3 linked regions of the Struthio camelus genome follow. The protein of the gene in region 3 purifies or fractionates together with the protein of the main gene of each other region. This does not show direct contact. Links are inferred from orthologs where the notes say so. Each region holds a gene or a part of one and is shown on either strand. Other genes may lie near its edges. The genes, in order: RPL28, TOP2A and CTCF.

What was found.
Region 1: the proteins of CTCF (region 3) and RPL28 purify together in Homo sapiens (affinity purification with mass spectrometry; 3 studies listed by BioGRID and IntAct, with this or other methods). This does not show direct contact. The link is inferred for Struthio camelus from reciprocal best matches to the Homo sapiens genes CTCF and RPL28.
Region 2: the proteins of CTCF (region 3) and TOP2A purify together in Homo sapiens (affinity purification with mass spectrometry; 3 studies listed by BioGRID and IntAct, with this or other methods). This does not show direct contact. The link is inferred for Struthio camelus from reciprocal best matches to the Homo sapiens genes CTCF and TOP2A.

Annotation. Positions count from the first base shown.
Region 1 is NW_027182594.1:51,718-59,582, reverse strand, and holds RPL28 (large ribosomal subunit protein eL28), read right to left. Parts: upstream 3,093-7,865; 5' UTR 2,989-3,092; intron 1,366-2,988; 5' UTR 1,361-1,365; coding exon 1,280-1,360; intron 754-1,279; coding exon 630-753; intron 531-629; coding exon 412-530; intron 178-411; coding exon 88-177; 3' UTR 57-87; downstream 1-56. Other genes in the region: germ cell-specific gene 1-like protein, read left to right, coding at 6,744-7,059, 7,856-7,865.
Region 2 is NC_090966.1:6,951,055-6,958,426, forward strand, and holds the start of TOP2A (DNA topoisomerase 2-alpha), read right to left. Parts: upstream 3,003-7,372; 5' UTR 2,902-3,002; coding exon 2,869-2,901; intron 2,276-2,868; coding exon 2,129-2,275; intron 1,932-2,128; coding exon 1,841-1,931; intron 1,331-1,840; coding exon 1,267-1,330; intron 702-1,266; coding exon 556-701; intron 86-555; coding exon 1-85. Other genes in the region: collagen alpha-1(XVIII) chain-like, read right to left, coding at 4,228-4,438, 4,969-5,081, 5,209-5,403, 5,747-5,815, 5,983-6,048, 6,136-6,198, 6,329-6,463, 6,562-6,614 and 2 more. UniProt on the Homo sapiens protein: Key decatenating enzyme that alters DNA topology by binding to two double-stranded DNA molecules, generating a double-stranded break in one of the strands, passing the intact strand through the broken strand, and religating the broken strand.
Region 3 is NC_090951.1:26,295,326-26,302,925, forward strand, and holds the start of CTCF (transcriptional repressor CTCF), read left to right. Parts: upstream 1-4,580; 5' UTR 4,581-4,595; coding exon 4,596-4,649; intron 4,650-7,600.

The sequences.
Region 1 (7,865 bases), on a different chromosome or scaffold from region 3:
CCCCCCGGACGCCTGGGCCCCTTCCCCCCCCCCTCCCCAACAGAGTCAGAGCCGCGTTTTTGGGGCAGTTCGGAGCCTTTATTGCGCTCAGGGGGCCTTGGCGGCGCGAACCCGCTTCTTCTTCACCACCACCGGCTTCTGGCTGCGCAGGATGGCGCTGGCGCGGCGCAGGGCGGCCTGGGGACACCGCGGGGTGGGGGGGGGACACGGTCAGCGCGGGGCGGGGGGGGGGGAACGACACACGGGGACGGGACCCCCCCCCCTCCTCGTGGGGCTGAGCCCCATGCCACCACCCCCCCCCACCCTCCAAATCCTGCTCAGCGCAAGGACCCGGTTCCCCCGCGGCTCCGTGGCCCCCCCCCCACGAGCCGAGCGCCCCCCGGCGAGGGGCCCAGGCGTCCGGGCGCTCACCATGCGCAGGTCCTTGCGGTACTTGTTCTTGCGGATGATGTGGCGCAGGCTGCTGAGCGTGGCCCGGGCGTTCTTGTTGACGGTGATGCGGTCGTAGGAGGTGGCCGGTTTGCGCTGCCCTGGCGGGGGGGGGGACAGGCACAGAGCGGTCAGGGCCGGCGCGGGGGGGGCTGCGGCGTGTGGTTTTTTTGGGGGGGGGTCGCGGGGACGGGGCCCACCTGCCCGCTTCTTGAGCACCACCACGACGCCTTTGCCGTCGGCCGCCGGCTCCACCCCGACCGTCTTGCGGTGGACGAGGCCGTTGTAGCGGAAGGAGTTGCGCGCCTTGAGGTTGTTCGGCTCCTGCGGGGGGGGGGACACGCTGGGGGGGGGCCCGGACACCTGGGTCCCCTCATCCTGTCCCATCTGGGTCACTATGGGGGGGGGGCCGGACGCCTGGGTCCGCTCGTCCCGTCTGGGTCACTATGGGGGGGGGGGGGGCCGGACGCCTGGGTCCGCTCGTCCCGTCTGGGTCACTATGGGGGGGGGGGGGGGGGGGCCGGACGCCTGGGTCCGCTCGTCCCGTCTGGGTCACTATGGGAGGGGGGCCGGATGCCTGGGCCTTCCCCGTCCACCCCATCTAGGCCATCATATTGGGGGGGGGCCGGACGCCTGGGCCCTACCCTATCCCATCTGGATCATTGGGGGGGGGGGGCAGACACCTGGGCCCCCTTGCAGCCCATCTAGGTCACTGTGGGGGGGCCCGGACGCCTGGGCCCCTCCCCTCCGGGCTCAGCCATTGTTTGGGGGGGGGGGGGGCTCCCGGGTCCATCCCCCACCGGGGGGAGGGGGGACACAGCCGGGCCCCCCCCGCGCCCCCCCCACTCACGGTGCTGTAGGTCTGGTTGTTCCTCTTGATGAGGAAGCTGGAGCAGTTGCGCACGATCATCCACTGCAGGTGGGACGACATGGCGCCTGGGGGCAGCGAGAGCCCCCTCAGCCCCCGGCCCGGATCCCCCCCCAGCCCCCCCGGAGCCCCCCCCAGGCCCTGATCCCCACCCCGGACCCCGATCTCCCCCCCAGGCCCTGATCCCCCCACCAGAGCCCCCCCTCTAGGTCCCAATCTACCCTCCCAGACCCTGATGCCCCCCACCCAGACCCCCCTCAGGCCCCGATCCCCCCCCAGAGCCCCCTCTCTGGGCCCCAATCTACCCTCCCAGACCCTGATCCCCCCCCTCCCCAATCCCCCTCAGGCCCCGATCCCCCCCCAGAGCCCCCTCTCTGGGCCCCAATCTACCCCCAATTCCCCTCCCAAGTCCCAACCCCTCCCCAAACCCCCCCCAGGCCCTGATCCCCCCCCAGGTCCCCCATAGGTCCCAATCTACCCTCCCAGACCCCGATTCCCCCCACCCAGATCCCCCTCAGGCCCCGATCCCCCCCCAGAGCCCCTTCTCTGGGCCCCAATCTACCCCCAATTCCCCTCCCAAGTCCCAACCCCTCCCCAAACCCCCCCCAGGCCCTGATCCCCCCCCCAGATCCCCCTCAGGCCCCGATCCCCCCCAGAGCCCCCTCTCTGGGCCCCAATCTACCCCCAATTCCCCTCCCAAGTCCCAACCCCTCCCCAAATCCCCCCCAGGCCCTGATCCCCCCCCCAGATCCCCCTCAGGCCCCGATCCCCCCCCAGAGCCCCCTCTCTGGGCCCCAATCTACCCCCAATTCCCCTCCCAAGTCCCGACCCCTCCCCAGATCCCCCCCAGGCTCCGATCTCCCCCCCAGGCCCTGATCCCCCCCCAGGCCCCAATCCCCCCCCAGCTCCCCCTCCCAAGCCCCAATTCCCTCCAGTTCCCCTCCCAAGCCCCGATCCCCCCCCCAATCTACCCCCTGGATCCCCTCCAGGCTCCGATCCCCCCATAGAGCTGCCCCCCAGGCCCCGATCTCCTCTCCCAGGCCCCGATCCCCCCCCCAGCTCCCCCTCTGGGCCTCAATCCTCCCCCCTAGATCTCCCCCGGGCCCCGTTCTCCCCCTCAAATTCTCCTCTAGGTGCTGATTCCTCTCCAAATGCCCCCCAGGTCCTGATCCCCCCCCTAGTTGCCCCCCCCAGGCCCCGATCCCTCCCCAAATCCCCCTCTGGGCCCTGATCCCCCCCTAAATCCCCCCCGGGCCCCGATCCCCCCTACAATTTACCCCCCAGATCCCCTCCCAGGCCCCGATCCCCCCCTCAATTTACCCCCCAGATCCCCCCCCCGGCCCGAATCCCCCCCAGATCCCCCCCCAGGCCCCGATCCCCCCCTAGACCCCCCCCCGGGCCCTGATCTCCCCCCAGATCCCCCCTCTGGGCCCCGATCCCCCCCTAGACCCCCCCCGGCCCCTGATCTCCCCCCAGATCCCCCCCCAGGCCCCGATCCCCCCCTAGACCCCCCCCCGGGCCCTGATCTCCCCCCAGACCCCCCCTCTGGGCCCCGATCCCCCCCCAAATTCCCCTCTAGGCCCCGATCCCTCTCCAAATCCCCCCCAGGCCCCGACCCCCCCCCAGTTGCCCCCCCAGGCCCCGATCCCCCCCCCACCCGGGCCCGGCCGGGCCGCAGCCACGCGCGCTACCTCCGCTCGCTGCCGCCGCCGGAAACGGAAGGAACGCGCGCGGGCGCCGGAACCCGCCTGCGCCCGGCGAGCCCCGCCCACCGCCCGGCGAGCCCCGCCCCCTGCCCGGCGAGCCCCGCCCCCCGCCCGCCTCCCGCGCTCGGCCGCCTCCGTCACCCCTCGGCCGTCTCCGTCACCGCTCGGGCCCCTTCGGCTCCTCTCGGCCATCTCCGTCACCGCTCGGCTACCTCCGTCACCGCTCGGCCATCTCCGTCACCGCTCGGCCGTCTCCGTCACCGCTCGGGCCCCTTCGGCTCCTCTCGGCCATCTCCGTCACCGCTCGGGCCCCTTCGGCTCCGCTCGGAGGCTCCCGGCGGAGTGGGCGGGGCTTCGGCGGCCGCCTGCCCGCCGGGTGGTTTTCGCGCCTCCCGCGCGAGGCGCCGGGGCCGTTGGGGGCCGTTGGGGGCGCGTGGGCGGCCGTTGGCGGCCGTTGGGGGCCGCCGGGGCCCCCCGGGAGCCGTGGGGAGCCCGGATCTGTCACCACCCTTCGCGGCCCCTCAGTGCTGGCTGCGGGGCGGCTGCATCCCCCCAGTCTGAGGAGGGGCAGGAGGGGCCATGGGGCAGGAGGGGGGGCCGTGGGGCAGGAGGGGGACGTGGAGCAGCAGGAGGCTGTGGGGCAGGAGGGGGGATGTGGGCCCGTGGGGCAGGAGGGGGGGCCATGGGGCAGGGGAAGGGGCCGTGGGGCAGGAGGGGGCTGTGGGGCAGGGGAAGGGGCCGTGGGGCAGGAGGCCATGGGGCAGGAGGGGGGCTGTGGGGCAGAAGGGGGGCCGTGGGGCAGGAGGGGGGCCGTGGGGCAGGGGAAGGGGCCGTGGGGCAGGAGGGGGGCTGTGGGGCAGGAGGGGGGATGTGGGGCAGGAGGGGGCTGTGGGGCAGGAGGCCATGGGGCAGGAGGGGGGCCGTGGGGCAGGAGGCCATGGGGCAGGAGGGGGGCCGTGGAGCAGGAGGGGGGCTGTGGGGCAGGAGGCCATGGGGCAGGAGGCCATGGGGCAGGAGGGGGGCTGTGGGGCAGGGGAAGGGGCTGTGGGGCAGGAGGCCATGGGGCAGGAGGGGGGCTGTGGGGCAGGGGAAGGGGCCGTGGGGCAGGAGGGGGGCCGTGGGGCAGGAGGAGGGGTGTGGGGCAGGAGGGGGGCCGTGGGGCAGGAGGCCATGGGGCAGGAGGGGGGCCGTGGGGCAGGAGGCCATGGGGCAGGGGAAGGGGCCGTGGGGCAGGAGGCCATGGGGCAGGGGAAGGGGCCGTGGGGCAGGAGGGGGGCTGTGGGGCAGGAGGGGGGCTGTGGGGCAGGAAGGGGGCCGTGGGGCAGGAGGCCATGGGGCAGGAGGGGGGCCGTGGGGCAGGAGGGGGGCTGTGGGGCAGGAGGGGGGCTGTGGGGCAGGAAGGGGGCCGTGGGGCAGGAGGCCATGGGGCAGGAGGGGGGCTGTGGGGCAGGAGGGGGGCCGTGGGGCAGGGGGTGGGTCCCTCCGCCGCTCGCTGCCTCGGGCTGTTATCGATGGGGGAGAGGAAGCAGCCGACAGGGGGGATCGATAGGGCTGGCGGGGGGGGGGGGGGACGGGACTGGGAGGGGCGGGGGGGGGCGTGGGGCCCTGGGAGGCGCCGTGGGGCGCAGTGGCCATGGGGCCGTGGGGCGCGCTGGCCCTGCTGGCCCTGCTGGGGGCCGGGGGGGCCCCCTTCGAGCTGCAGGAGGCGCTGCGGGCGCTGCGGGGCGAGAACGCCCGGCTGCAGGGCGCCGTCTCCAACCTGAGCCAGGCCCTGGGCCGGCTGCGCGCCCGCCTGCGGGACCCCCGGGGTGAGCCGAGCCCCCCCCCCCCGCGCTCCGTGCGCCCCCCACCCACCCACCCACCCCGGCTCTTCTCCCCACAGATCCCGCCTGGACCCCGGAGCCGCCGCCGCCGCCCTGCCGCCTGGCCCCCGCCTCGGCCGCCCCCGCCTCGGCCGCCCCCTGCCCGCCGCTCCTGGGGGGGGCCCTCGCCCTGGGGGCCGCCGCAGCCCGCCGGGCCCTGCCCTGAGGCCGCGCCGGGGCGGGGGTCCTCCCCCCGCGCCCCGCCGGACCCCCTCGAGCGCCCCCCCGCCTCCTCACCTTCCTCGAGCACCCAGGACCCCCCCCCACCGCCGCCGCCGCCGTGACCGGCTCGGGACCCGCCACCCTGCCGGTAGGTGCTGGGGGGGCGCGGGAGACGGCGGCGGGGGGGGGACTGGGGGTGTCCGGGGTGGTCTCCTCCCTCCCTCCCGGAGGGTCCCTGCCGAAATGGGGGGTCGGGGTGGGGGCTCGGATGCGGCCGGGGCTCGTTAGGTGGGCGAGCGATCGGGGCCCCCCCCCGAATCCTGCCCTGGGCTGGAGCTGGTCCTCAGCCCCCCGGAGCCCCCCTCAGACCCCCAGAGCCCCCAGGAGCCCCCCTCAGCCCCCCGGAGCTCCCCATAGCCCCCCTTAGCCCCCCTCAGCCCCCCAGAGCCCCCAGGCGCCCCCCTTAGCCCCCTGGAGCCCCCCTCAGCCCCCCAGAGCCCCCCCTCAGCCCCCTAGACCCTTCCCCGTTCCTGCTAATTAGCAGGCGCAGTTAACCGCGTGGGGAATGTGGGTCGCTCGATGGCTCTTTCCACCGCCCCGAGCGCTGCCTCTGCTCCGGCTCCCACAATGCCCCAGGGGAACCAATTTGAGGGGGGGGGGGGGCCAGGCATCCGGGCCCTCACTCCCGAGCCGGGCGGGGACCCAGGCGTCCGGGCCCTCGCTGCCACCGAGCTGGGTGGGGGCCCAGGCGTCCGGGCCCTCACTCCCGAGCCAGACAGGGGCCCAGGCGTCCGGGCCCTCGCTGCCACCGAGCTGGGTGGGGGCCCAGGCGTCCGGGCGCTCACTATGGAGCCAGACGGGGGCCCAGGCGTCCGGGTGCTTGCTGCCACCGAGCCAGATGGGGGCCCAGGCGTCCGGGCGCTCGCTCCCGAGCCAGATGGGGGCCCAGGCGTCCGGGCGCTCGCTCCCGAGCCAGATGGGGGCCCAGGCGTCCGGGCGCTCGCTCCCGAGCCGGGCGGGGGCCCAGGCGTCCGGGTCCTCGCTGCGAAGCCAGATGGGGGCCCAGGCGTCTGGGTCCTCGCTCCCGAGCCAGATGGGGGCCCAGGCGTCCGGGCGCTCACTCCCGAGCCGAGCGGGAGCCCAGGCGTCTGGGTCCTCGCTCCCGAGCCGGGCAGGGGCCCAGGCGTCCGGGCGCTCGCTGCAGAGCCAGATGGGGGCCCAGGCGTCCGGGCGCTCGCTCCCGAGCCGGGCGGGGGCCCAGGCGTCCGGGTCCTCGCTGCGGAGCCAGATGGGGGCCCAGGCGTCCGGGCCCTGGCCGGGCTCCAGCAGGGCTGTAATTCCCTGGCCGCGGCTCCGGCCCCGGAGGCGAAGCAGCTCCCGGAGGCACCAGCTGGACCCTAATCCCCCCCGCCTCCCCCCACCCCAACGCAGGGACCCAGGCGTGCGGGGAGCCGCCGGCGGGGGTCCCGAGCGTCCCTGCTCCGGCCCCCCCAGCCCTGGCGCTGCGGGCGGGGGGAGCCCCGGCGTCCGGGCCGAGCCCGCGTCCCCCCGCGACGCCCCGGGGGATCCTTGCAGCCGCTTTTCCTCCCTGCTTCCCCCCCGCCGGCAGCGTCGCGGGCAGGATTAAGCCCCGCGCGGCCGGGGGGGGCGGGGGGAGCGGGAGAGCAGCAGCGGGGACGAGGAGGAGGAGGAGGAGAAGGGAGGACGGCGAGGGGCATGGCGCCGGGGGGCGCGGGGGGCCGCCGGCGCGCGGCCCTGGCGCTGGGGCTGGCGGCCCTGGCGCTGGGGCTGGCGCTGCTGGCGCTCGGCACCAGCTACTGGTGCCAGGGCCGGCACAGGGTGGCCAAGGCGGCGTGCCCGCGGGGGACGCGGCGCGGGGCCTGCGCCGGAGCCCGCGCCGCCCCCGGGGACCCCCGCGCCGCCTCTGGGGACCCCCGCGCCGCCCCCGGCGCCTGGGAGAGCGGCGACGACAAGTTCGTCTTCCGCTACTTCCACGCCGGCTTCTGGCTCTCCTGCGAGGAGCACCCTGACGGTAGGGCCCCCCCGCCCGCCCCCGGGGACCCCCGGGTGCCCTACGAGACCCCTGGGCCGCCCTGCGGGACCCCTGGGTGCCCTACGAGACCCCTCGCTGCCGTTTGGGGACCCCCGGGTGCCCTACGAGACCCCTGGGCTGCCCTGCGGGACCCCTGGGTGCCCTACGAGACCCCTCGCTGCCATTTGGGGACCCCTGGGTGCCCTACGAGACCCCTCACTGCCGTTTGGGGACCCCTGGGCCGCCCTGCGGGACCCCTGGGTGCCCTACGAGACCCCTCGCTGCCATTTGGGGACCCCTGGGCTGCCCTGTGGGACCCCTGGGTGCCCTACAAGACCCCTTGCTGCCATTTGGGGATCCCCGTGTGCCCTACGAGACCCCCTCGCTGCCCTGTGGGGACCCCCGGGTGCCCTAAGAGACCCCTCGCTGCCCTGTGAGGACCCTCGGGTGCCCTACGAGACCCCTGGGCTGCCCTGTGGGACCCCTGGGTGCCCTGCAAGAGCCCTGGGCTGCCCTGTGAGGACCCCCGGGTGCCCTATGAGACTCCTTGCTGCCCTGTGGGGACCCCTGGGTGCCCTACGAGAACCTTGGTCGCCATTTGGGGGACCCCTGGGTGCTCTCCAGAGCCCCTGGGTGCCCTGTGAGGACCCCTGGGCTGCCCTGCAGGGCCCTGGGTGCTCTGTGGGACCCCTGGGTGCCCTGTGGGGGCCCTTGGGTGCTCTGTGGCACCTCTAGGTGCCCTGCGGGGCCCCGGGTGCCCCGCGGCCATGCCACCCCGCTCTCGCTCTGTGCCCAGGCGAGGTCTG
Region 2 (7,372 bases), on a different chromosome or scaffold from region 3:
TTTTTGTATTCACGACATGCAGTTTCTACAGTAAATTTTGTGCTAAATATGTTGCACAGTTTGGCTCCATAACCATTTCGACCACCTGGAATTGTAACGCAAACAGATCTATGTTGTTACATTTGTTCAAAACCATCTAAAAGAATTCCAGACTAACAAGAATTCAGTCCCTTCAGCACTGTCAAAGTACGACTCACCATGAATGACAATATCCTACAAACTTAGCACATGACTATATACCCATATTTAATGGGAATTAGTTTTCAAAGGGAATTCCTCCTGTTCTCCATGACTGTACCATTTTTATTATAAAATACAGCATGGAAACGTCCCTCTGATACACTCAGGGATTCCATTTTTATGCTGCATCAACATCACTTCTTTTTCTTAACAAGGAGAACAGCAAGGGACCAGTTAGTGTCACCTTTATTCAGAACAAGCAGTCTTGATGAAACCTGCTAGCTACTGCTCACTCACACTGGGTAATTCAGTTCACACATTTAAGCTGATCAGGCAGCACAAAAATATTAGCACTTAATTTAGAGACTTCCCTACCTGTGACTTTCTTTTCATCATCATCATAGTTGCTTGAGGTTAATAGCTGTCCAAAAATAAGAGCAGGCACATAGACCTTCTCCACTTTGTGTTCAACAACTGGAATACCTTTCCCATTGTTCCATACACTGATCGTGTTATTCTCTCTGGGGGAGAAGAGAGTGTGTCTTTAAGGCTGGAAATGACTGAGCTATGAAATAAATGCTATACAAAATCAATGGTAGAAGGCCACCGTTTCATCAAAAGTAAATTTATGTTCGGCAAGTGTAAAAACAGCCAGCAGAGGGAGGACAAGTCCAAAAAAAAAAAACCTTCAGCCTCAGATCTGCAGATACCATCTATAATATGAATAGTTACATACAAAAATAATCTGTGCTCAAGAACAGAATAAAAAATTTGAGAAGAAGGAAAGGAGAAAACGACCACAAGGCGGGGGGGGGGGGGGGGGGGGGGAAGTAAAAGCAATGATTTCACAAGCCAACGCTCTAAGAGAGCAAGAGACCTAAAGAAGATAAAGGCTTTTGTAATTGGTCAATAATGCTACACAAGTTGGCAGCTGTGGAGCTCCAGGAGTTACATTTGGTTCAACTTGAATGTGCCTCTGCAAAGAGCTCTCTATTGCCTAACACCAGCCTAACAGAACAGTATCTGAAGAAGAAAATCTAACATACGTGAACTGGGAAGACACTGAAAAAATGAAATAAAACTTACGGATCAATTGTAATTTTAATGCATGACATGTTTTTATCCCTCTGCTTGTTGTCTGCAGCATTGACTAGAATAGAAAGATTGTTATTTTTAGCATATTACACTTTCAATCAAGACAGAAAATATTAACTATAAAGTGCTTTCAGTAGAACGAATACAAAAATTGAAGACAAGATGCTACTAGTAATCATCTTGATAGGCAAAGATTTTGCAAGTTATAGAGATGAGCACTACAGGATAACATAAAAGGGAGAATCTGGGGCTGAATGGAATTGGCTTTATAATATATAGTGCCATCATCCCAAGAATGGCTTACACTTTAGTGGCACTAATGGAAATTAAGACCAGGCAGAACATTAGTATCCAACATTTTGAAGCACAGTCAACAAACGATATACTCTGTGAACACCATCCATCGGATTATGCAAAGGACATTACTTGGTCAACTGGAAAAAAGTACATTTGCCAAGTTCTTAATTTTAGTTCAAGGGTCTCTTACACCTTCAGCACCCAGAAATAACTTAAAAAAACAAACAAACTTGCTAATCACTAGTCCAATAGATATCCCACAGCTCACCTAGAATCTCATCAAAGATTTTGTACAAGCCAGGCACATAGGTCACATCTCTGCAGTTAAGGCCCACATCCTCATCAAAAACCCACATTTGCTGAAAAGAAAGTAAAAAAAACACATACATCCCCAAGTGTTTTTCAGGTTTCCCTCATGTTCCCTGCCATCAGGGTGTAAGGCAGAGGCACCCAGCACTGATTCCCACTTAGCTGGAGGGCCATGTTAACGCCCCCCCCCCCCCCCCCCCGGTGCTGGGTGCTGCTTAGCCCCGGGGTGCTCCCAGCCCCGGCGCACCTGGGTCACCAGCTCCACGGAGCCGATGTAGGTGTCGGGCCGGAGCAGGATGTGCTCCAGCTGCGTCTTCTTCTGGTAGATCCGCTCTACCGAGAGCCGCTTCTTGGCGCCGTCGCCCTTGGGCACCCGCGGGTTCTCGTCCAGGGGCTGCTCGGGGAGGGAGACAAGGGCCGTGAGGGGAGCGGGGACCGGCCACGGCGGCGGGAGGGGGCCGTGGAAGGGGAGAGGGGCGGCGGGGGACCCCGAGACGAGCCTGGCGGAGGATCCTGAGGGGCGACATGAGGAGATGGGGGGGGATCTGAGGGGAATTGGGGGGCCCCGGGGGGGGATCTGAGGGGAACTGGGGGGCAACCTGAGGGGAATTGGGGGTCACCGGGGGGGGAGATCTGACGGGGTCCGAGGGGCCCCGGGGGGGGGATCTGAGGGGAATTGGGGGGCCCCGGGGGGGGGATCTGAGGGGCCCCGGGGGCGGATCTGAAGGGAACTAGGGGGAGATCTGACGGGATCCGAGGGGCCCCGGGGGGGGGATCTGAGGGGAATTGGGGGGCCCCGGGGGGGGATCTGAGGGGCCCCGGGGGCGGATCTGAAGAGAACTAGGGGGAGATCTGACGGGATCCGAGGGGCCCCGGGGGGGGATCTGAGGGGAATTGGGGGGATCTGATGGGGTTTGAGGGGCCCCGGGGGGGAATCTGAGGGGATGGGAGATCCCGCAGCCCTGAGAGGACGGCGGCCGCACGCACTCGGAGGGGCGACGGGGACTCCTCGAGTTCCATGGCGGCGGCAGCGCTGAGAGGCGGCGATGGCGGCCCGCTAACCGCTCCGGGCGCGTTTCAAACCTCCGCTCAGCCCGCCGAAACCGGCCCGCCAATCGCAGGGCGAAGGCGGGGACACAGGCCCCGCCCGCCCACCTCCCCTAGCCAGTCACAACGCTCCCCGCTCTTTCAAACCAGCCACTCCGGCCGGGGGGAAGGCGGGAGCCGTTCAAATCTCGCCACTCACAAGGGACATCTGGATGACGGGCACTAATCTCGGCCAATAGAGAAGCAAGGGAGGGAGGTGGCGGCGAGGCTGCGTCCCTAGGGCACGCCGGCGGGGTCGCGGTTGCCTGGGTGACGGGGCCCAGCTACGGGGCTTCCCCGGCCAGCCCTGCTGGGGTGGTGCCTGGGGGCACTGGGCAGGCTCTGGGGACACACTGGGACACAGTGGGACACACTGGGACACAGGGGGCAGGCCCTGGGGACACACAGGGACACACTGGGTAGGTCATAGGGACACAGTGGGACACAGTGAGACCCAGTGGGCAGGTCGTGGGGACACTGGGACACTCTGGGACCCAGTGGGCAGGTCAAGGAGGCACACTGGGCACACTGGGACACACTGGGACACAGTGGGCAGGCCCTTGGGGACAGCTGGGCAGGTCATGGGGACACAGTGACACATTGGGCAGGTCAGGGGGACATAGTGACATATTGGGCAGGCCTTGGAGACCCACCGGGAGAGGTCCTGGGGACACAGTGGGGACATAGTGACACACTGGGCAGACCCTAGGGACACACTGGGACATACTGGGCAGGCCTTGGGGACATGCTGGGACACAGACCCTTGGAGGAGGTCCCTCTATATGTGTGTGTATATATATATTGGGGGGGACCCAAATATATATATATACATATATATTTTTTTAACATATGTGTATATATATGTGTGTGTGTGTACAAACACGCCCCCGACATGTCTCGCAAACAAGCCCAGAGCCCAGCTGCTTTCCAGGCTGTGACGCTCCGCTTCGGCCGAACGGGAAAGCACGTCCCGCTCCGTGCCCGGGGTGGGGTAGGGGGGCACCATCCCAAACACCGACCCTCCCATTCATTTATTTAAAGTTTATTTCCGGGGGGAGGGTGGGATGGCAGCATCGGCTGCGCCGTGGGGTCCGGGATGCAGATGGACACGCGGGGCAGGGCGGGGGGACCAGCGGGGATGCGCAGGGGACGAGGAGCGAGGGTTCGGGGAGGGTGGGAAGGGGGGATGGCCGAGCACCCCGCGGCGGCCATCCCGGCGGCAGCGCGGAGCCTCCGGCGGGGCCTCGGCCGGCTCCTCGCTCACCACATGTGCCGGTAGGGGAAGGCCACCTCCACGCACAGCACGGCCAGGACTTCGGAGCAGTTGTAGCGCTGCCCAGCCAGCAGCTCGCCCCGACCCAGGGGGGCCGCCAGCCCCTGGGCCGAGCCGGAGCGCCGCCAACCGTAGCAGTGCCGGCCGCGAGCCGAGCCGCCGCGAGGGTCGGAGCCATGCCAGGCCAGCCGATGGGGCCTGCGGACACAGCACCGTCTCCTCACGGCCGGCCCCGGCACGCGCCGGCCTGGCGGAGGATGGTGGTGGGGGTGGGGGTGGAGGAGGACACCTTTGAGGGGACCCGCTGTGCCGGCCCCGTGGAGGGTGGTGGGGGTGGTGGTGGTGGTGATGGTGGTGGGGATGGAGGAGGACACCTTTGGGGGACCTGCTGTGCTGGCCCCGTGGAGGATGGTGGTGGTGGTGGTGGTGGTGGTGGTGATGGTGGTGGGGATGGAGGAGGACACCTTTGGGGGACCTGCTGCACCAGACCCGTGGAGGGTGGTGGTGGTGGTGGTGGGGATGGAGGAGGACACCTTTGGGGGACCTGCTGCACCAGACCCATGGAGGGTGGTGGTGGTGGTGGTGATGGTGGTGGGGATGGAGGAGGACACCTTTGGGGGACCTGCTGCACCAGACCCGTGGAGGGTGGTGGTAGTGGTGGTGGTGGTGGTGGTGGTGGAGGTGAAGGAGGACACCTTTGGGGGACCCGCCGTGCCAGCCCCGCTCACCACAGGGGATGGCTGAGGACGTCACGTCCGTCGAAGGTGTAGATGGGGACGCGCCGAGTGGCGCCGGCCTGGCCCTCAAAGAGGGAGCTCCAGCTCTTGGCCAGCAGCTGCCCCTGCAAGCGCGAGCGGCGGTGGTGGCGGGGTGGCGTTTCGGACAAGGACGGTGCCCAGTGCCCGGCGGATGCCGCCTCAGCCCGTCGCCCCCGGCCGGGGCGGCAGCTGGGGCGCGGGGCTACCTGCCTTGAGGTTGACGACGGGCAGCGTCCTGTCCGTCCGCTTGACGATGGAGACCAGGTCCTGGGTGGGGGCCGAGAGGAACGCCCGGAAGGTGCCGTAGAGCCGGGCCTCCTGGGACTGCCGGTAGCACTGCAGGTCGGCGCCCCGGATGCCGCTCATGTCCCCGGAGAGGGGCGCGTTCAAGGCTGCCAGACGGAGCTGGGGAGGCCGGGCACCGCCTGAGCCGGCGGCCCCCGGCGCCCGTCCTGCTCCCTCGCCCGGCTGCCGGGTCTCTGCTCCTCCGCCCCGAGCGCTTGACCCTCCGGCTGCCCCGGCGGTGGGATTCCCCCCCGCCCCGGCACCAAGCCCTGCCTTTCCCGGCAGGACACGGAGGGCATTTCCCAGCAGGACGCAGAGGGTTTTCCCTGGACAGAAAGCGTTGCCTTTCCCGGCAGGACACGGAGGGACCCCGGGGCACCTCTCCCACCTCTCCTGCAGCTGGGCGACCCGGCGCCAGCTCCCGGGGGGCCGGGAAGGGGCCGGGAAGCGGGACAGCTCTTACCGAAGGGACCCTGGGGGCCACGGCGGTCGGCAGCATCCCGGGCGTCCCCGGTCCCTCCTCCTTGTGGGCCTGGGGGAAGGTGGGTCACGTCGGTCTCCGGCTCAGCCATGCCGGGCACAGAGCCACGCTGCCCTGCCGGAGTCCCCCCGCCTGCTGCGGCGCCCCGGCTGCCGGCTCGGCGGGCGCCCGGCCAGCGCTCCGGGGAGGGACGCTTGTCCCTGCGGCGCGGCGCTCACCTGCGAGGCCGCCGGCGCCACGGCGGGCGGCTCCGTGTCGGGACCTTTCGCCTGCAGCTGCTTCGCCTCCCGGGCGGAGAGGAGCGAGCGCGGGGCTGGCGCGTCCGCGGAGGACGCCGTGCCCCCGACCCGCTCGCCGCCCGCAGCCCTCACCTGGGGGCCGGGGGGAGACGCAGAGGGGTCGTCGCCGGCGAAGAGCGCCTCCGAATCCTCCAGCTGCTCAAAGCGAGAAGCCGAGGGGCTGGTCAGAGGGGAAGCCGCTGCCTTCGCCGGGCTGCTCCGGGGCCAAATCCAGAGGCGGCTGCTGGGGCTGGAGCCCGGCGCCCTTCGGGTACCCGCTCAGTACCAGGAGTCTGCTCCAGCCCCGCGGCGTCCGCAGGAAGGCGCTGCTCCCTTGGCGCACGTAGACCAGGCTGCCCTCGGGCACGGCCGAGCCCGCCTTCAGCATCAGCTCCTTGGACCCGAACACCCACGTCTGGCGCTGAGCGAGGGCGGGGGGGGTGCAGAGGTGCATGAGCCGGCGCCTGGGCGCGGGGCGGCCCCGTCCCTCGCCCCCGCCTCGAGGGCACTGGGACGCACCCGGAGGTCCGCGCCGCGGGGGTCCGGCGGCTCCGTCCGAGAGGCGTCAGCGTCTGGAGGGGCCGGAGAGGGGCCGGGGTCAGCGCGCAGCCCGGCACGCCGGCGGGGGGGGGGTCCGGCGCTGCCCGCCCCACGGCCCTGCTTCCGAGGAGGCCGGAGCCCACCCAAAACGCCCGGGAAATGCCCTTACCCGCTGGCCAGGCTGCGGCGGCGGCTGCCTGCAAAAGCCGACGGGGTTTGTTACTGCAGCGCCGGGCATGCGGCCCCCCCTTCCCCGCGCAGCGCCCGGCCCGGCGGTCCCGGTGCACGGAGGGGGATGCACGAGCGGCAGTCCCGGTGCACGGAGGGGGATGCACAAGCAGTGATCCCGGTGCACGGAGGGGGATGCACGAGCAGTGATCCCGGTGCACGGAGGGGGATGCACGAGCGGCAGTCCCAGTGCACGGAGGGGGATGCACGAGCAGTGATCCCGGTGCACGGAGGGGGATGCATGAGCAGTGATCCCGGTGCACGGAGGGGGATGCACGAGCAGTGATCCCGGTGCACGGAGGGGGATGCATGAGCCGGCGGTCCCGGTGCACGGAGGGGGATGCACGAGCGGCAGTCCCGGTGCACGGAGGGGGATGCACGAGCAGTGATCCCGGTGCACGGAGGGGGATGCACGAGCCTCGTGGGGCCGGGGCCGAGACGGGTGGCGGGGCCGGGCCGGGGCCCCTTGGCCCAGCAGAGGGGCGCCAGGCCCAGGGGCGGGCGGCGGGCAGGGACGCAAGGCCCACGCTCACCGGCTGCTTGCAGGGCGGCTGGGCGCGCG
Region 3 (7,600 bases):
GACTTAGTCAAATTCACTGCTGTATTTCAAATATATTTAAAATCTTCAAATGAATTCAGTTCTTCCATTGTTCAGTTTGTAATTTTTACTTTCTTGAAAGAAACATCTTTGTTCTCTGGATGATGTTAGGTCCAATAAAAAGGGCCCTGGACTGGACCCTGTAAGTGATTTGTACTGCCATGGAGCCTTCGGTGATTTGGGGCAAATTACTTAACCTGTTTTTCTAGTTTCCCTATCTTGTTGTGTTCAGTTTGCAAAGCTGACTTCTTGTAACCACCTCTAACATCCAGGGATTTAAAATGAAAACAGGAAATGCTACTGTATTAAAATGGCCACTCTTTTGCATTCTGTACTGAAGTGTGATAATTCTGCACTTTGAAACAGTAGCTTTCAACTTCTTTTTGCTAAATTATTTGTAGTGGAGGTACAAATGTGAATATGAACTTTAGATTTACCCTCCCTATTTATTATGCGAGAACCTATTAGAGTCACTCAAGGAGTTTTCTGATTACAGGTTGTAAAAGGATCAGTTTTTTGAAGGTTGTAGTTTGAGTCTAAGTTTATCAGATCATTAAAACATTCTTTTTGGAGGATGAAAGAAGTTAGTGTTATTCAACGTTATAACTTACTGCCCTTATTGATCTCTGAAGAGAGATCTCAGTACTGCCCCAGGAAGCCATAATACTCAAAAGATACTCCTTGATTATTTGATCCTTCGCTACCTTCCATGTTAATGTTCTCCCCTCCTTCTTGCTCAGGAATGACTAATATTGACTTCTTTCTGCTCTGTTAGCTCTTTGAGCTACTAGAGCGTATATGAGCCCAGAGTAGTTTATTCTCGGCTGCCTTTTGTGTGTGTGGAAATAATTGTTTGTCCTCTTGAAGCAGTTGTGTTCTCTGCCTGCTCTACCAGTGTTTTGACCTATGTGAAAGAGAATTTGGCAGCTTCTGTGGAGGTGTGATGGAGCAAATATTCTGATGGCTGACTTGCCTGAGATGACGTTTGTAATGTTTTTGGATGCACCTGTCCCGAGTGGCTCATGCAAGCAAATCCTTGCAGAACATGTTTTCTTCTCCAACTCCCCTGGATTAAAAGAAGGGAGATAGCCTTGAATGTTTATCCTGCTGTGATATTAGTGAGATTCTCCTTCGTTAGAGGTACTTGATCCTGTGAAGTTGTTGGTCGGCATGATGTGTTACCGTTTGTTCTTGTCCCAGAGCTGCTTCTCCAAACAGGCTGCCTCTTGCTGACAGCTAAGGGGTCTTTTCAGCCACCCGCTGGCATTCAAGATGTAAGCTCTTGATGTGATTCTGGAGAAAAGAGCACACCTTAGTCCTTGGTTCTCCAAAGACAGATTTTTCTTTTTAATAATGTGGAATTACTGGTCATAGTCATTGGTTTTCTCCATGTCTAAACAAAGTGAGGTCACTAGTCAGTATTGCTTCTGCCTCTTCTATCTTAACTTCATATAGGAGCTCTTGTCTGATGCTGGTCTTTGGACAGCCCTTCTTTGACTTCATATCACACATGTTTTTGTATCTCATAAACAGTGATGTACTAAGCCTCTGCTCTTGTAATGCTGCTCTCTCACATTAAATGCCAGAAGGCTTATATTCATCTCTCTGAAAGTGTAGGTCACTAGGTAAATTGCCAAGGGTGACTGTCCTTATATACATTAACAACACACAGTAAAGAACTGATCATTGTTTGAGATCTTGCAAAAGTATTCCAGGTCCTCTAGAACTTGCTTGGGAGTAAGAAATCCCTCTGCCCCAAGAGCTTTGTAGGTATAATTGTATAAATGAAATCTGTTGCTCTGTGTTTGAATGTTAAGTATATCCTTAATTTTTTGTAAAGTCTCATGCCAGAGATCATAACATAATTTGGGTTGGGAGGGTCCTCTTGCGGTATTTTGGTTTCAGCCCCCAGTTCAAAGCAGGGCCAACTTTGAAATTGGATAAGGTTTTTAGGGTTGTATGTAGCAGCCTCTTTTTTTTTTTTTTTTTTTTTAAAACATCTGCAAGGTTGGAGTTCCTGCTCTAAGCAACCTGTTCCAATGTTTGACCACTCTCATTGTGGAAAAGTGTTTTTCCTAGTATCGAATCAGAATTTTCCTTGATGTAACTAGCCTGTTGCATCTTTTCCTTTCACTGTGTGTCTCCAAGAGTTTGGTTTCATCTTCTCCGTACCCTCTCTTTAGCTAGCTGAAGGCAGTAGTAAGAAATTCCCCTCAGCCTTCTCAAAGCTAACTATGCCAATTCACAACAAGTGCTCTAGCCCCCGTCATCTTGGTGGCCCTCTACTGGGCTCTGTCCAGTGTGTGTCAATGTCTGTCTTGTACTAAGGAACTCCAAAGTGGGCATGTGGAGCAATTTTATTTCCAACCTAGTGCTGTTTCATTCAGGCTTATCATACACGTGAAAAATCTGAATGGGAAAACTAAATTTAATGGGAGGTATTTTATGGGGAAAAAATCCTGGTTGCTGTAATGGAAGTAGGCTTACCTTTCAAATAAAGAAGAGTAAGAATGAGGTTCGCCCCCCCCCCCCCCCTCCTTGGATAGTACTATGGAGTAGGTGAAAGCAGGTATGACTTGCCCTTCTGAAACGTGTACCTTAATCTGAGGACCAAAGTTTCCCAGAAGTATAGCATATTAGTAATTTGAGGTTCTGAGAGTGGTGTCTGAGCTGCTTAGAGCAAACAATTCTCTTCAGAATTCCAGTGATGCATTTCCTTAAGGAGAATCGATACCTTGTGGAGAGAGAAGGATGATTGTGCTTTGCATCTACCATACAGTCAAAATGTGCAAACGTCCCTGTAAAATGCTGTTCCACGTTTGCGATATCTACAGTGTAGAAAATAACTACAATTACTATTGTTCAGTTATTCTTTTCTCCTACTTAAGAGGCTATGGTGGATACACCATTTATTCAAAATGGAGATCTCCCCACTGTTAAGTCATTTGCCAAGCTGAAGGTTTGGTTTTGAAAAAACTGAAGAAAAGATTTTTTTAATTGAATTTCAAGAAAAACAAAATTTAGGATGAAAGAATAACAATAGATGTAAGGATGCTTATATTGAATTAAATGTGTCCTATTTAAGAGTCCTGGCAATAAACCCAATGATGAAAATTTTAAGACAACACAGTTTATATAGGAGTTGGCAGCTTTTTCTCAAGTGTCTTCTGAATGTAGAAGTTGCTCACTATGAGCCTTTCCTGTGTTAATTTTCAAGTTTTTAAGTTTTAGGAAGTAGTCTTTTGCTGGGGTAAGGCTCAGGAATAAAAACTCAGCTAGTAATAGTAACTATTTTATATGCCTGTCACTGTGTGCAGGCTCTCATGAGCGCAGGACCTGGCAAGGATGCACTTCTTCATAGCATTTATACTGTGCCGATAGCAGTTGAGCTCCCTATGTATCCTCCAAGTGTCCCCTTTCCTGGTTGCTGAATGCATATAGCACATGTGATTTTATTGCATATATGTAGACTACAGAGAGATCAATTCCAAAAAATTTTTTTAATCCTATTACTTCACTAGTGCTCAGCATCCACAGCTCTACCAAGTTTGACATCTTTGCTGAACGATTAAATCTTTGCTGCTCTTTGAACAATTAAAAATAGATTTGTCGATGAAAAATTGCTGTCAGAACCAAGACTTAAGCACTTTGTAGTAAATAAAATTAAATAAATAAATGACAGAAGAACCAGGGAAAAAGTAGTATCTAAATTGAAAGGGCATAGAACCAGTATGAAATTCAACACTGTTTGGCCAGCTTTGCTGAGTGGAGCAAGAATACGTGCCTCGCTCCAGAATTAATCCTGTGGAGTTGCTTACTGTTCTCAGGATTTTTGGCATGTATGCACACTGAGGCCTGAGCAGGATTAATGATGAGAAATAATGGGCTGTTTTGTAAATAATTTAGTTCTGTAAATCTGCATATTTTAAGTCTTTGGTTGCTTACAGTAATGAAGTTAACTTAGCAATTCTTCAGTTAGCTGAGGTGGTTCCTCCTCACGGTAACAAAGTTAGAAGTGTGTTAGAGATGACTTTGTTACTTCATTGATAGTGTTATTACTTGCTACCTTGGCAGTATGTGACAGGTTGTACTTGCTCTAATTTACACTCCTTTGACAATAAAAATTGCTTCTTTATTGTGATTTGGTATTTCCCAGCATAGGAGGGAAATAGGCATAACCAGTTCTAAAAAGTCACGTTGCAGCCTTAATTTGACATTAAACATACAGAATTTCAGGTTCCGAGAACTATATGTGCTGAAGAGTCTGAGAAAAAAGTAGAGAGGAGTTTGTAACACCTGAGTTCACTCTTCCTGGTAAAAATCATGAAAGCGGATTTAAAATACTCATACAAGTTTTGGTTTTGTTTAAGGCTTATTTGATAAGTGAAGGAGCCCTCAAGCAATTACCATGCTACTCATCATAGAGCTGTAGAACTAGGCACTTTCGATTAAACGTTCAAACGTGTTTTTTCCCCCCTCTTTCCTTTCTTTTTGTATATAGTTTTACTAGTACTACTAACCTGTTTTGTTCCAGAGTGTGTGTTCTGACATCAAGAGCTGTATGAAGAATAGCCAGAATGAAGAGAACAAATCAGTCCAGGCAGAAGTGCAGAAGCTTCAGGAACGCAAATGTAAATTAAGGGGTTTCAAAGTGTGGTAAGCATTCCATGCTGAGGCAGTAGTTTCACAGACACTTAAGGCTAGCCCTGTGCTGGAAGAAGCTGTCCTGTCTTGCCGCTCCTTTGGCTGGCCTGAGCAGCCACACTGGAGAACTGGTCTGGATGGAAATAAGTATCTTTTGGCTGGGTGAGTTCTGGTCTGAATTAGTTTCCTGCAGTCTTAGACATGATTGTGCCAACATGAAAAATAGTTGGAGGGATGCAGGTGGGAACAAACGAGCAGTGCAAAGGCAGAGGATGGTTTCTTTGCCAGACTTAGGCTTTACTTTCAAACACACTGAACTAACTGCTGGTAGAAAGGCTTCCCCCCCCCCCCCCCAAGATGAGTGTCTTTGTGTAACTTTTGCTTCATAGATTTTGATGGTTGATTGTAATGGCACTCCTGCGGCTTGGTTGTAGAAGAATATTTGGAACATGAGTCCAAATGGATATGTGCATAAAATGGATTATACTACCTAAAACTGCAGCATGAGTGCTACTGTTCAGGATTGATGTGGGTTTGATTTTGTTTATTTCAGTTCCAGGGTTTATTAATTCAGATGAACTTCCCTAAGGTCTATGACTCAAGAGCAAGCATGACTTGCTTTAGGCTTGAGGAGTTTCTACCTTGTCCACCACCCTCCTCCCATAGGTGTTTCCAAAACTATCCTGGAATTTCCTGCCCCCGTTGCAAGGGCGGCAAACTCTATCTTTACAGTTGACATCCTGACATTAAGCCAACTGACACTGACTTTGGTTTCCCTTACCGCATCAATTTGTGGAGCGATTAGTAGTTACTGCATGAGCAGCTATGCTGTTCATACAGGAGCAGGAACCATGCTACCATCCCAGGGGTTAACGCTTCCTGCCCTGTGATTTGAAGCCTGAAATCCCTTGGAAAGGCAAAGTATCACTACTTAATAAGTGTCTATGTAAAGGTAAAAGGAATAGCTTTTCCCCAGCAGTTTATACTAGGGTATTTGTTCATCTAGATGAAGCCTTAGAGGAAAAAATTCCACATACTTTTACCCTGTTACAGAGTTTACAGAATGCCATGAAACTTGCTGCACTGACCTTTTTCCAAGTGTGGTAATATCTGGTGCCATTTTGACATCATGCATCAGTTGGCCAATGAATCCTACTATATCAGATTTATTTTGAAGATAGGGATGTTTTTATTTGCTTTTAAGTGTGCTAATGTTCTAAATGTAAGTCTGAGTTAACGTGCAAGGAAGAATGAGCACAAATTCTTGTTCATAAAACTATTAACCTTTTTCGAAATCTGTCTGCAATATTAGGCTTTGCCTCTTGCGGCAATGGCTTTCACAGGCCACATTTCCAGTGGTGGTCTGTGAGCTTCCTCCATCTCTCTTATATTATGGAGTACTATAAGAGGAAGGCTTTGAGCAAGTTTATGGTCTAGCTTTGACTATTAATCATCTGAAAATGAATTCTTCTCTGCCTGCTACTTTTAAAATTTAACGTGTAAAATATAGAAGGCTTTTAAAGTCCCATATTTGTCTTTCAGAAATGAACTGTAGGGTTAGGAAAACATTCTTAATACATTAAAAAGGGGAAAAAATCCTAGAAATAGGTGATATGGGAATGTTTAGCTCACATTTCCCCATTTTCATTGGAGAAGTGTGCGTATGACTGAAGAACTAATTTGGTCTAAGGAGACTGCAGTATCAGTTGTTGAAAGAAATAGAGTTTTCATGCTTATTCAGTTCCTCCTTAATTTCTCCTTCCTTCTCTGTCTACTTAACATTCTTATGTAACTTAGTTGTACATTTTTTTTATACGTCTTTTACATAACAGCTCAGATCTCTAAATCTTCAGGAAAAACAAGGAAAACTTAGTATTTCTGAAGCTAAAATATATTGAACTTCCAGAAATAAAAAATGCTGAAATGCTTCCATCAGACTGCTTTCTTTAAGGCTTGCCATTTGAAGTTAGGAGTTACAGCCCAAGGGACTTGAAAGTGTGAGATTTGTTATCAGTAACTGCAGCAGTTTTTAACAACACAGATCTCAAGCGATTCACCTTAATTGTATTATGTTTTCATGTCCATTACATGCTACTGCTTATTACAGCAGAATTACCCGTACCTTTTCTGGAAGGTCTGTGATTCTGGGGTCTCTTGCCACTGCTGGTTGAAAGGAATAAAAAAAGGCTTGTTCTACAAACTGCTGAGGAAAGACATGGAGTTAAAATTCCTCTGTCTTGCTTGTAGACCCAATATATACTCTAATTTCATGTCTTGCAAAGCCTTTCCTCTGTGTTCTTGGTCCAAATGAGCAGGTCAACTTTTTCTAAGTAATTGCAAAAAATAACTGGTTTGTGCTACTCTCTGACTGAAAAATGGGTATCAGTGTTGGCTGAAGTTTCTCATCACTTTATCTCATGAGGCATGGTGAATTCAATGTTTGAAAGAGAACTGGCAAGATCCCTGGGCAGGGGCAGCAGCTAGAGAGATTTTGTGTGTTAACGATCGTTTGGAGATGTCTTCTTGCAAAGTATAGGCATTTGAAGTGTCATTGGGATGCACTGGAATTCTGCTTCAACACCAAGGCAGTTGTGGGTAAGGAATGCCTTGAAGCCCGGGAGATGAATTGACTGTGTTCTTGGGGAGTTCATAATGAAGGGGAAGGGGTAAATAGATTTGGACGTGGTTCTGACCAGATTAATTTTGATAACACCTGGCCCAAAATGTAAGCATAAGTAACAGGTAACCTTGTTTCTCAATTAAAGACTAACTGAATAGCACAGTGTGTGTTTCTGATTACAATTAAGTTACATCTGTCTTAAACAGGAAGGTGACCACAGACGGGTGGGTACTGTGACCGAAAGGGTTGCATGATGCTTGAGTGAAATTGATTTCACTGAAGTGTGTCCTCTGTAGATGGTAGGATGGGACAATCTGG